Linked DNA regions of Drosophila melanogaster. The protein of the gene in region 1 interacts with the protein of each later gene in a pairwise test. Each region holds a gene or a part of one and is shown on either strand. Other genes may lie near its edges.

Region 1 (3,076 bases):
TAAAAACTGTATTAATATTTTCTTATACCTAACAAATAAATCCGAGTTGTTGGAGCAATTATTGCTACATAAAGTTACATGCCTGGCCTACTTTTTCCCATTTCTTTTGAATTTTTTACTAATTAGAATTTTATTTTTAAAAGGACTTCATTGAAAGAAGTCTACATTTCCCATTCAAAAATAATATAATAAATAAATAAATGTATCGTTAATTTAAATTCATCCACATCTCTCTAGATCTCTAGATCTATGAATATTAAATTTCCACAGCTAGTCTCAAACAAATTTGATAAAATGTAATCAAAATTGAAGCGCTGAAATGGCAACACTCAAAAACGTTCACCATTGAGTTGAAAGCAAAACTGAACTCAATATCATGCATTTTATGCTCAGTATGCGAATTAGATTAGCGTCACCGCACCTTGGACTTGTTCACAATTTATGTATAAATGAGTTCATCCCAAAGTCAATCGATATCATTCGCATCGAACTCTTCGAGATCAGCACATAAGCCAAAAATCAACATGAAGTTCCTGATTGTCTTCGTCGCCCTCTTCGCCCTGGCTGTCGCCGATGTTCAGATTCTGAAGCAGGAGTCCGATGTCGGACCTGTAAGCTTTAACTATGGGTATGTTTTGTGAACTATGTGACAAGGATTTGTTTTCTTACCCTTTGCTCTTGATTAGCTACGAGACCAGCGATGGATCCTCTGCTCAGGCCGCCGGACAGCTGAAGAACGTTGGAACTGATGAGGAGGCTCTCAACGTCAAGGGTACCTATTCCTTTGTGGCCGATGATGGCCAGACTTACTCCATCGCCTACACCGCCGACGAGAACGGATACCAGCCCCAGGGTGCCCATCTGCCCGTTGCCCCCGTGGTTTGAGCTATCCATCGTTAATATTGTTTTACTGAAAAATCCTTCAATTATGAATAAAACCTCAACAGATTGATTAAAGATACATGAATATGTTCGTTTTGAAACTTTAGTTTCGGAAAAATTATTTAACAATTGTAACATCTCCTAAAGAAGTTTTTAGAATGGCTTTTTAATGTGATCATTTCGCAATAAGTCAATATTTATGAAAAATAAATAACTTATTTCGAATCGTACATAGTTTCCACAAATTTGTTGCTTAGCCTGCGATCCAGAGTCATCCCTAAGTACTTGAGTGTGAGTAAATTAGAGATTCAGTCTCCGCTTAAAGAGATTGTACGGCATTCTCCTCTGTGCGAAAGTGAAAATTGATTTTCCGCGTTCACTACGATGTTTCACCTTTGCATCCTAGGGCCCATTGCATCCAGTTAATTTTGGATGATGTCTGTGGCTTCTTCGGGGACAATCGACGGGATTTCGGCGGAACAAGTTGGAGGAACAGTCGGCGGGACAGTCGACGGACAAGTTGGCGGAACACCTGGTGTCAGCGGGACACTCCAAGGACGCTGCCTTGTGCTACTCCGGCTCTAATGGGCCTAGATGAGCTTATTGAGCTTCCGCATCTAACTTGGAATACTCTCCTCTCCGTGCAGGATTTGAGACGGCACAGAAATGTTTCTTTTTTTTCGAATACCTCCAGTGACATTGATCGGTCGATCCGTGGGATCTTCTGAAGCCAAACTGGTGATTAGGGATCATTCCGGCGTGTCCCGCAGAATCTCACGCCAACTGTCCCGCCAACTGTCCCGCCGATTTATCCAGCCGCTTTCAGATTCTGCTTGTGAGATTGCCATCTATTGATAATTTTTCCTTGTTTCTCATGTGGTTATTAATATCAGCCGAGTATTTTTGCTAGTAACAACTGAGTTAGTGAAACCAATTTGAACAACTTGCCTAAACTTGTTGATTTGCATTTTGTGTTAGGTTTTAAGCCATTCAGAGATAGCTGGTACTCAATAATATACATTTTTCACATTATGTTTTGACTAATTCGGATGCGTTCAGCATAATCGAGAGGTTGTCCAACTATTTAAGACGCGCCCTGGCCAACAGAGAGCATCATTCGTCGCGAACTGTTCGATAGCCGCAGATCTAAGCACCAAACAACAATCACCATGAAATTCCTGATTGTCTTCGTCGCCCTCTTCGCCGTGGCTCTGGCTGCTCCTGCCGCTGAGGAACCCACAATCGTGCGCTCTGAATCCGACGTTGGACCCGAAAGCTTCAAATACGAGTAAGTTGCCTATGAGAAATGACCCAAAAGGATACCTAGCTGACACTGACTTCCTTCTTAGCTGGGAAACCTCCGATGGACAGGCTGCTCAAGCTGTAGGTCAGCTGAACGACATTGGAACTGAGAACGAGGCTATCTCTGTGAGTGGATCCTACCGCTTCATTGCTGATGATGGCCAGACCTACCAAGTCAACTACATCGCCGATAAGAACGGATTCCAGCCCCAGGGTGCTCATCTGCCCGTTGCCCCCGTGGCATAAGTTTTTCAACATTTTTAACTAGTTCCTTTTTAATGTCGGTTAACAGGAAATAGAAAACCTTTATTACCGTTCTTATCAAGGAGAACAGAATCTAAATCAATAAGCCTAAAGTGTTATTAAAGAAAAAATTATTACATGAAGTAATTTGTTTTAAATGGGAATTAATTGTAGCAGGAAATCATTGATCACTTATCTATAAACATAAGATAATTTACGTAAAATATAAATATACTTTTTAAGATATAGCTTTTCCCAATGGTCTATTTTAAAAACAATATTCAAAGTGCTATAGTTTTATTGTGATATAGAAGTTATAAGTTATAAGTAATAGAAGTTATAGACTTTTGAGAACTGTGTTTAGATTAATCAATCAATAATATTGAGAACTAAACCTGACATAACAACAGTTCATCATATATGATAAGCTGTTATCTAAAACAAGAGAGAATGCTTAGTGGAGTTCCCCGACTATCGGATACTCTTTACTCAGCTGGTGTGAATGCGAACGCGAAATTTCATAATTTTTCTATGATACCGATAGATATTATGAAATAAAATGAGAAAAAATTTAAAAATTGTTTAAAATGTGGGCGTGACAGACTCGGCTGCTTTAGGGCGTTAAAGTAGGCGTGGCAAAAAGGTTTTT
Region 2 (4,850 bases), about 14 Mb from region 1:
GTTGGCGCTGGTTCGCTTCGTGCCGAACCGCCGGCGCAGCAACTCCATGTAGCCGTCGGAGAACTCTTTGCTGAAGCTGTGCAGGAATTTGCCAGGATTGTCCGCAAAGAGGAGCAACTGGCGCTGGTGGGACTCGCTCATCGTGTGGCACTTGAAGCCGTTTTCATCGCGGCACTGCTTCTCGCACATCTGGCAGTACCAGCGCAGCTTCTGCAGACCCTTCGATTTCATCTTGTTGGCGAGGTACTTGGGCGTACCTACCTCGGCGCGACCCATCGTAGCGTCTTTTTATGTGCGTGGTTTTACAAATAATTTCTCAACAAAAACTTATTGTTTTGATCTCACGTAAAGGTATGACCGCGCTGGGGTATAACAACAATACCCGTGAACACTTTTATCGATAGTTACTGCTGGGGGATGTTCGTGTGACCAGGCTAATATTATTTGTTGATAGCGGTAGAAAATGAATTTAAAAAACTTAATATTCATTTCTTGAAAGATTTTTATTTAAATATTCAAAATAGAGATTAAGCCGAGTTTACATAATAAAGGCGTATTTTTTATCACAAAGTAATAACTACAATGAAATGTACAATTGAACGATTTCCATTAATTAGCTTAATTCACATAGAAAATAATTCAAAGCACAATTTTCTCGCCCAATCTCTCAATTTCGTCCAAAATGAAGTCCAACTCTTTGCTTTTCAGGATGGGAAAACAAGTGAAGACCATGCGAAAGAAGTTGCCCAGATTTTTAGCTTTAAGAGGCGAGTAACCAATCATCAAAGTGCCGCTGTGGGCCATTTGCTCCTTAATTTTCGGGGCCACCTTTAAAGGAGCATATAAAAATGTGAGCTTAAATGGTCTATCAAAGCCATTGTTATTCACTTACAGTGTAAAGTCGACTCCACCATTCAGGCGTCTCCTCCTCGCTGGACACCCTCATTGCTTTCGGAATGAACCAAAAGCAGACATTGGAGTACTCGTGCTCCGGGATCACCAGTCTAAAGCGATCTCCACGCTGGCGCAGCTTGCCTTCCAGCAACCTGGCGATGTGGATGGCGTGGTCCACCATGAGTCCATACTTTCCATATCCGCGAGCCTTAAGCATTAGCCAGAACTTGAAAGCGTCGATCTTGCGGCCGCACTGGACACTCTTGTTTCCCGTATCGTAGGATACATCATAGAACTTGTCCTGCTGGAACAAATAGTGCGCCTCGGTGCTGTTGCATCTTTCCAGCAGACGGCCAGATTCCCTGGTCAAAAAGAGTGAACACTGCAATGGAGCGCCGATGGTTTTGTGCGGATTCCAGGAAAACGAATTCGCCCGCTCGAGGCCGGCAATGAGCGATCGGTTCTTGGCGGAGAGTAGTGCAGCGCCTCCCAGACAGGCGTCCACATGGAGCCACAGACCATGTCGTTCCGTCACATCCGCCGCACCATTGATATCATCAAAGGCACCCAACACAGTGGTGCCTGCAGTACAGTTGACAAAGAACGGTTCACCGCCACGTGCCTTTGCCTCTGCGATCTTCGCCTCCAGGTCGTCCAACAGCATCTGACCCCGCTCATTGGTCCTCACCGACACACAGTTGTAGCTGCCCAATCCCAGCCAGTTGGCCGCCTTCACGAAGCTGTAGTGCGACTCGTCGGAGGTAAAGAGCACCAGCGGTCGCATTCCAAACATTCCAGACGTCTTCACCTCGGGCGCGATCTTATAGCGGGCCAGAACCATGCCGTACATGTTGGAGGTGGAGCCACCGGGCGCAAAGATGCCATCGCCTTCCTTGTATCCCGCTAACTTGCAGATGGTCGCGATCACCTCAGTTTCGATCAAGCTAAACACGGGCGCAACTTCGTAGGTGTATCTGAAACAAAAGTTTATTGTGTCTTGTTGGATACCTCGGTTAAAAGTCTGATTTTGGTAGTCCTATCTAGGAAATCTCATCTAAATGATTAATAACTTGCAATGATTGTGTATGAACTCTGCTTAATCCCCATTTAAATTAATCGAAAGGGGGGGGGGGGGGTTATGAAACATACATGTAGTACTTTGCAATCTCCATTACATAGCGCAATTATCTGTACGTTGAACCCCGACACCACTTGTAGATTGGAACACGAGATGCAATCAGCGGTCACTCATATAGACAAGACACATGTGTGGAATAAGGCGCAGACTTACGTGCTGCCGTTCATGGCCTCGGTGACCAGGGCTCCTGCCAGTCCAAACGGGTCCAGCTGGCCAAAGAGCTGATTGTGGAAGCGGCCGTGCGAGGTTTTCACAGAGTAATGGATCACCTGCTGGCACAGCTCCTCGATCTCCGCGAGCGAGCAGTTTTCCGTCTCTCGAACCTTCAGGTTAATCAGTTCCTGGAAGTGATGGTGCGAAATCATGTAATCTCAAGATTGTTATAGAACAGCGACTTTTGCAATAAGAAAGTATATTAAAGATTCAACATATTTCTAAAACGTTTTCTGTTTCGAACTAATAATATCTTTACCCAGAAAAAACCGACCATAATCTATGAAATAACAAACAATTCAATTATAATTAAAACTATCAGATACTAGCATGAGTGTGCTCAATCAGGAAGTGCTACTATCAATTGACTCACATTTCGTCGGGCAAGCCATAGTACAATTGCTACAATTTGCGGTCGGGTGGTCAATTTTCGAATGAACTCTTCCATTAATCAGTTCTCTGTTATCTCTGGTTATCTCCACATCGGCAGACGCCGAATCGTCTATCACTTGCTCCACTCACCTTAAGTTTGTCTGGCTGCAAAAAGGGGACTATCTTCTGCTTGTCCCATTTCTGGGGATCCACGCAGAAGGTATCCTCCTTCCGGAGAAGGTGGAATACGTTCTCCAGGATCTTCCAGTCGTCCATGAGGCCATCGCGAATCTGGTCAACAGTCTCTGCTCCATCCACTGATTCAGCCATACTACACTCGGTCGGTAGAAGTTTCCGTATCTCAATTGGCCAGTAAAAGGCTGATTATTTTTGGCTTTCGAGATCCGAACCTCTTCCGTCGACGATTCAATCAGAAGTGCCCCGTCCGACTGCAGCAGATTGTGTTTTAATGTTATCTTGATCAAATTCTCATCAAGTTGTAAACCCTCGTCTTCGCTCGCACTCAAATGGAAATACAAATGATCGGGGCTGTAAGAACACACATACACCTCCACGCTTGTGCTCTTTAGAGTGAACCTCGTTTTATTACGAAAGCGAAATAAAAGTGATATTAAAGTCGTGCATATTTAGGTTACTTAAACATACAATATATATCAATTAAGCACGTGCCTTATTAGCTGATTCGGCTTATCTCGTAACCAAAATCCTGCACAATTCGTTTTCTTTTCATCTCGACGCATTATCGTCAAATTCAATCGAAATTTGCATATTTACCCTATCGATTAAACAAGTTTCATGTGCATGCCACCAGAAAACTTGGTCAACTAATTGGATGCCCAACACCGCAGAACTTAGCTGAGCTTACTTTTTGGAAGTCTCGCTGCAATGATTACTTACAAATATTCAAACGAGTACGGATACCTGCACGACACTGCGGCTCAGAAACGAGTTTCAGCTCACCAGATGTATCTGAGCGATTCTTAGATGCAAATCAAGGGCGAAACAAGTACTACGAGTGCTTTTTGCTGTCGTCCACGTGCATTGCCAACTAATGAAGTGGGAATCTCGCAGTAAACTGTTTCCAGTGTGCCTGCAAATAGAAAGTAGAAAATGAAATGCCCATTTCACTTTACTTTCATTGCTGTACTGGTAGTACTCCAAGTGGCTACCAGCATTTTACTTATCCAGCAGATAGCAGAGTCGGAATTTTATCAGCTTTCGGTGCAAATTTCGTTTTCAAGCTATAATAGAACGATTAAAACTCACAGATACAATTCTCCTTGTACCCAAAAACTTTAGGAAACGTGGCGTATTGTCAATGTAGATTTAGATTTAGATTTATAGAGGAACAATTAATTATATAACAAGAGCTCTAGTCCCTCGAAAATATATTCAAATTGCAAATTTGTTCACGTAAAACGGTTGCATTTTAATATGTTTTCCTCGATTTAACATTTTATCGTTTGTATCTATATGCATTATTTAAAATTTTACTTTTTTCGCCAACAACGTAAAAATGGAAGAAGGTTTGTGTTTTCTCATATTATTTAAATATTCTATTTGATTTCCTGGATTCATATAGTTGTAGTTGCAGTTCAGTTTGCGGTCGAACGTAGTGGCAAATTCATTTCTACAGATACATTTCCTAGTAATCATCTAGATCGAAGCCATCATTGTCCAATTCATCGAGCTGCATACTCTGGAAATCCACCTTGTAGCGTAAGATACCTGCAGAGGCACACCCAGCAATTGAATTAAATTAAAATAAGAAACAAAAAAAAAAAAAAAATAGAAGAACAGAAGCTGATTGAAAATTGAAAAATAAATGAAGAGGAAAAAACAAAAGGATCAACACACAGGATAGTTCAACCGAAACTCAGATTCTCACCTCCTTTGTATCCACATTTAACTTTTCATACACTAAATAAAATATTTGTTGTACTTCGCGACTGAATATAAACGGATACCCCATCCTCATTGTGTGGTGTTTTTATTCTGGTTTAATTTTTATTACAATTTTATGGATTAGATTTGTATACTTTCTTATAACACTCGGCTATAATTTGAATAGGGGAAATGCAGATACGTTCGAAAGTGGCATGTGGCAGTTAACCGAAGATCTTTTGCTCCTAATACCGCAGTCGAAATCGAACCAGATGAACGGAGAATGCGCTAATATCTATCGCATCGCTTTTACATGACCATTGAAATA
Region 3 (4,781 bases), about 12 Mb from region 1:
TTGAGGAATGGTAAACAATAAACATCTCCCAATTTCGGTCGCATTTAAAGCACTTTTCAGTGCCAACGGAAAAGGATTAAAGCAAACTGTCGGAAATTCAACCAGAAGGATTAAAAGTTTTGCTCAAAAGGCCAAACTAAAGTTTGACTCCGAAGAACGTCGACAGTTGCCATATTTTCTGTGTCACTCTCTTTCCAAAGTTTCTTCTAGATATCCCCCAACTCTTACCATATGTTTGCCAGCTTTTTTTTCACTGTCATCTAACCAAGTCGAACTTTTTTCTAAACGAAAACATCAACTGGCTCCACATGGAAATTATTGCAGCAAATTTCTTTCCAAGTTGGGTGCGAACAAAAACGGAAAATTTCCTGTTCTTCTAATGACCAACAGAGCAAGGGAGATAACTCCGGGTTTGGGCCAGGTGGATAGTTTTCCAAGTGCACGGCAATTAGATTTCGACGCCTGGGGCTTCTTAAGTTGGAGCTCTGAGACGGTGGCAGTGCTGAGATATGATTTATTTACCCAAAAAATGTAGGAGGAAACTAAAGATTGGTATCTGAAACGCAATCACTTTCCAAACTTAATTTAAATATCTGATAAATTTGCAAACTAACTTTGTAAACTTTGGAAAAAATATGTATGAATGATTTATATCGAGTGTGATGTTTGGTAACGAGGCAAGAACATATTTTTAATGTTTTTAAGAATATATATATGATATAGCACAGTCTTGCTATATCATATCCTAAGTAAATTGTGAGAGCATGCATTTCTTGTCCTCCTTTCCATGTCATTACTGATTTCAATTATTGCAAACAACTGTATGCAAAATGCATGCAATTAAGGCTAGAATAATCAATCAGCAATCAAAGCCTTTCCGAATTCAAGCTAATACACGTACATTTGCAACTATAATTATAACATTGACTGTCCCAATACCGATATAATTTTAAATGCAGTGCCATACCTGAACTACGAAACAATTGTGCCGAAAATAATATGTTATGCAAACACATTTGTGTTATTGGAATTTGGTAAAAGTATAAATAACACATTACGTATACGGCCGGTAAGCCATCCCATAAACGATTTTGAACATTTTAATTATAAGGAATTATAAATCTGATAAAATAAGGGTATATGCTCGCTAATATATGTTAAATTTAGAGTAATTAAATTTAGGTCCAAAATAACTGGAAATAATTTTTATAACAGCATGATACCAAAGGAAGGTAAAACTTTTTAAAATTTCTTGTTTTAGCATGAGATAGATAACACATGGAAGTAGTTTTGATTAACCTATAGCGACAACACATCTCAATATTATACTTTGATAATCCTTGTTCTTATATCCTTCTAAATGGCACCAGTAGAATCAACAAGCACTTGCCCAAAATGGCAACAGAACTGCAAGCGCTAACATTCGACTGTTGTTGGCCAACGAAAGTGAGAGTTCGTATAAGAGAGAAAGTGTCGGCGGGAGAGTCTCCCTCACCGCGTGCTCTCCCGACCAACTGTTAATTGAGGAAAATTGCAGCTGGGAAAACGGCAGCAGACCGCAACACGCATCAGGCATCAGGCCAATCGGGCGACGAACCTGAAAGCCGAGCACCGAGCGCAATTGTGGATCCGAGCGACTCTGCAGTCGGAAAACTCGCATCGGAAAATTCGCATCGGAAAACTCGCATGCACCATAACAAAATTCGCCGGCAAATGCGGCGCGCAGTATGCAAAACAACACCGGAACGTGCAGTTCAGTCACTGTATCTGAATCTAAAATAATAATATAAAACCAAACTACGAGCAAACCCAGGGTAAAGTAAACAAAAACTTCGCCAGCGCCAAAGACCAAATTCGATGAACGTGCGCGAAAAACTCAAACCAAATAGGGTGAGAGTGGCGAAAAAGTTGGGCGGGTGATAGATAACCCCCGGGGGCTTTTCCTGCTGCCTGCATCCAATCCAAATTAGCGGCCAAAAACGCAAGGAAAATAAACAAATAATTTTACTACCAGCCGCCGTCGAATCACAAATAAATCCGACGTAGAGTGAAAAATAACATTAGCGTCGCAATCCGAGGAATTGCAGAAACGCTTGCCAAATATTTTGAAAACCCCGAAAAGTGCGTGGTGTGCCATTTTATCGGATTCGAAAGGATGAGTGGCTAGATGACACAATATATTCAAGTGGTAAGCAAAATGTGCCTCGAGGAGCATCGAACGGGTTGCCTTGTGTGCACATCTAAAACGATTGGGTGCTATCTATCTCCAATGTGATTAGAAATATGTATGTACTATATAGTAAATAAAAAATAAGCTCTCCTCATCTACATATAAATATAATCCTAATTCTAGTTTTTGAACTTAAATTAAATATAAATATAGTTTAACTTGAAGGGTTTGCAATACTTTCGCTCTGTGCTTGGGTTTTCCATTTTCAACGTTCAAATGTTTGTGTGCGTTGAAATTTATCAGATAACTGAAATTCTGTGCGAATAGCAATTTGTAACTGTTGAATGTCTTGCGTTGAGGGAAAGAGGTTGGTCTTCCTACGAGGCGATGGGATGGGTTGAGGAACGAGGATGCCCGATGATGTGGAAACTGAGAAGGGCTGACCATCGACGGCAGCCGCAGTAAACCAGAAAGGATTTTGGGGAAACGAAACAAAATTTGACAAATTAGGGAATGCTGGAATGGTCGTAAATGTTATTCAGAGAAGTGCTATGCTGAGAATAAATGCAGAAATTGTTACGGAGACATGTTGATTAATTCGTTATGTGAGATGTGCAGAATAAAAATGCCAATTTAAGAAAAGAAATGCCAAGGCCACAAGTAATTTTCTTAATAAATATCCTGCATACATATTAAAGTGCAGCAGAAATTATTTGTTATTGGCTCATTACTCCTAGGGGTGTGGAATTTTGTAAACTTGATTTAATTGTAAGTAATTCCCATTTTATTATGAGAAAGTTAACCAAGTGGTTCAGAACCAAAGCTATGAGCTACTTACAATTTTTATAGAAGCCCTCTATGTTGTTCAGCTATGAAACTCAAGTTCCTTTAGCCTCCGTAGTTCCCCCTTCACACCAGATAACCCGGCGAATGAGCTCATCCAGCTAAGTAAAGTCCACTAAAACCGAACACCCCCTCCCCGCAAGACCAACTAAAAGGCACAAGGAGGCGGAGATAGCCACTGCCACCCCATGACCATAAAGCCCAATCAAAAGGCCGTTGCACTCGCTGACTAACGGACTAACTGAGTGAATGACGTGCCCTGGCCCAATCCTTCAGTCAATCGGTTTGATGGCCTGAGTCCGAATGTGGAGCTAGAAGCAGCACGGGAAGACAACGCAAACAGCAGGCGAAAGTGAAGGAGCAAGTCACGGAGGAGGAGCAAACGAAGCGTTTCAGCAGCTGCTGCTGCGACTCTGCAACTCGGGGCGTGTAATTTGTCAGACAGATTTCTTTTAGCGCCAGGACACAACCCCTCCCATCCAATCCAATCCAATGCTTCCTACACACCCACACTCAGCAATTGCCCACCCACAAAAAATACCGCCCACGTCATTGCAACAAAACTGCTTCCTTCCTGACTTTTTTGGCCATGCTCTTTGAAACTGAACTGGGCGTCCGACGAGGCTGGGATTGCTCTTACAAATCAGATATTCCCTTTAATTATATAATTTACAAATCTTTGTTCGTGAGTTTATACATTACATACATAAAATCGGAAGTGTTTTAATTTGCTTTTACTTTTGCATTTAAAAATGAATTATAATCAAGTTGATATAGTATGCAATTTTTTAGCTTGAAACTATAAATTGTACACTTTTAAATCCGTTTTATTTTATAATTTTAAATCAAGGATCTTAACAGAATAGACATTAAAAATTGTAGTCTTTCATTATAGGTTTGCACCATTGGTGACATATTTTGTCAATGTTTCTGATACCAAGTAGCATTTGGCAAAAATGTGGTTAAGATAAGAAAAAATGTATAAAACACCCCGGACTTTTATTAAAACCCATTGAATAAGTGAAAATGGGAACAGTCTGTGCAAAGGTATTGAAAAAGGAAGGGAAAGGAACGAGCCAGACATTGACATTTCAGTGCAAATGAAGTGATAAAACGTAAAGGCAAAGCGGCGTCAGCTAGAAAATTGCCAAAGTGGGTAAAGGAAGTGTAGGGAAAAGTGTGGAAGAGAGAGACAGACATAGTTGGGGAGAAAGAGACGGACGACTGAGCTAGATAGAGAGGGCCTGGCAGACAAAGCGCGTCGAAAATGCGTCTAATTTGATGGAAGCGATGCATGCCTTAACCTTTCGTCGGCGTCAGGCAAACAGACAGCAGCAACAACGAACACAACGATGACAGGCACCAAATGATAGCATTTCCTCCCAACTCAAAGGATCCGACTTAGCCAAGAACAAGGACACTGGCAAGGGAAAGGGAAGGGGAAAGAGTAGGAGAAGGGACCAGCCAACTGGGAGAGGATGAGCACCGGATTCAAATGGCGGAACAAGTGCCAGAGATGCTGATGTGGCGCCTCCTCAGCTGCTGACAACAAATTGATGGCCAAGGATGCACAGAAATTCCTCGGAAATTAGTCAACGCACAAGGGATTCCCACAAACTTCACTTAAAGGGGAAACCGTTCTGAAATATTAGACCGTTGTTAATATCCCAATCCTTCATGCTTTCCCAAAACAAAATTCACTTTCTTTCCTTAATCAGAACGAAAAAATATCCAAAAAAGTCCCTCAAAAATACAAATTTAGATTTAG

What was found. The genes of interacting proteins can lie anywhere in the genome.
Region 2: the proteins of Lcp65Ag1 (region 1) and CG5618 interact in a two-hybrid assay, tested with the Drosophila melanogaster proteins (one large-scale study listed by BioGRID).
Region 3: the proteins of Lcp65Ag1 (region 1) and AstC-R1 interact in a two-hybrid assay, tested with the Drosophila melanogaster proteins (one large-scale study listed by BioGRID).

The regions. Positions count from the first base shown.
Region 1 is NT_037436.4:6,134,189-6,137,264, reverse strand, and holds Lcp65Ag1 (Lcp65Ag1), read left to right. Parts: upstream 1-1,990; 5' UTR 1,991-2,051; coding exon 2,052-2,170; intron 2,171-2,231; coding exon 2,232-2,430; 3' UTR 2,431-2,568; downstream 2,569-3,076. Other genes in the region: Lcp65Af, read left to right, coding at 525-628, 687-885. UniProt on the Drosophila melanogaster protein: Component of the cuticle of the larva.
Region 2 is NT_037436.4:20,352,323-20,357,172, reverse strand, and holds CG5618 (uncharacterized protein), read right to left. Parts: upstream 3,254-4,850; 5' UTR 2,948-3,253; coding exon 2,768-2,947; intron 2,374-2,767; coding exon 2,186-2,373; exon of another isoform or gene 2,044-2,185; intron 1,869-2,043; coding exon 893-1,868; intron 829-892; coding exon 640-828; 3' UTR 541-639; downstream 1-540. Other genes in the region: kin17, read right to left, coding at 1-276; eRF1 (eukaryotic translation release factor 1), read right to left, coding at 3,619-3,728.
Region 3 is NT_037436.4:18,558,517-18,563,297, forward strand, and holds the start of AstC-R1 (allatostatin C receptor 1), read left to right. Parts: upstream 1-1,741; 5' UTR 1,742-2,188; intron 2,189-4,781.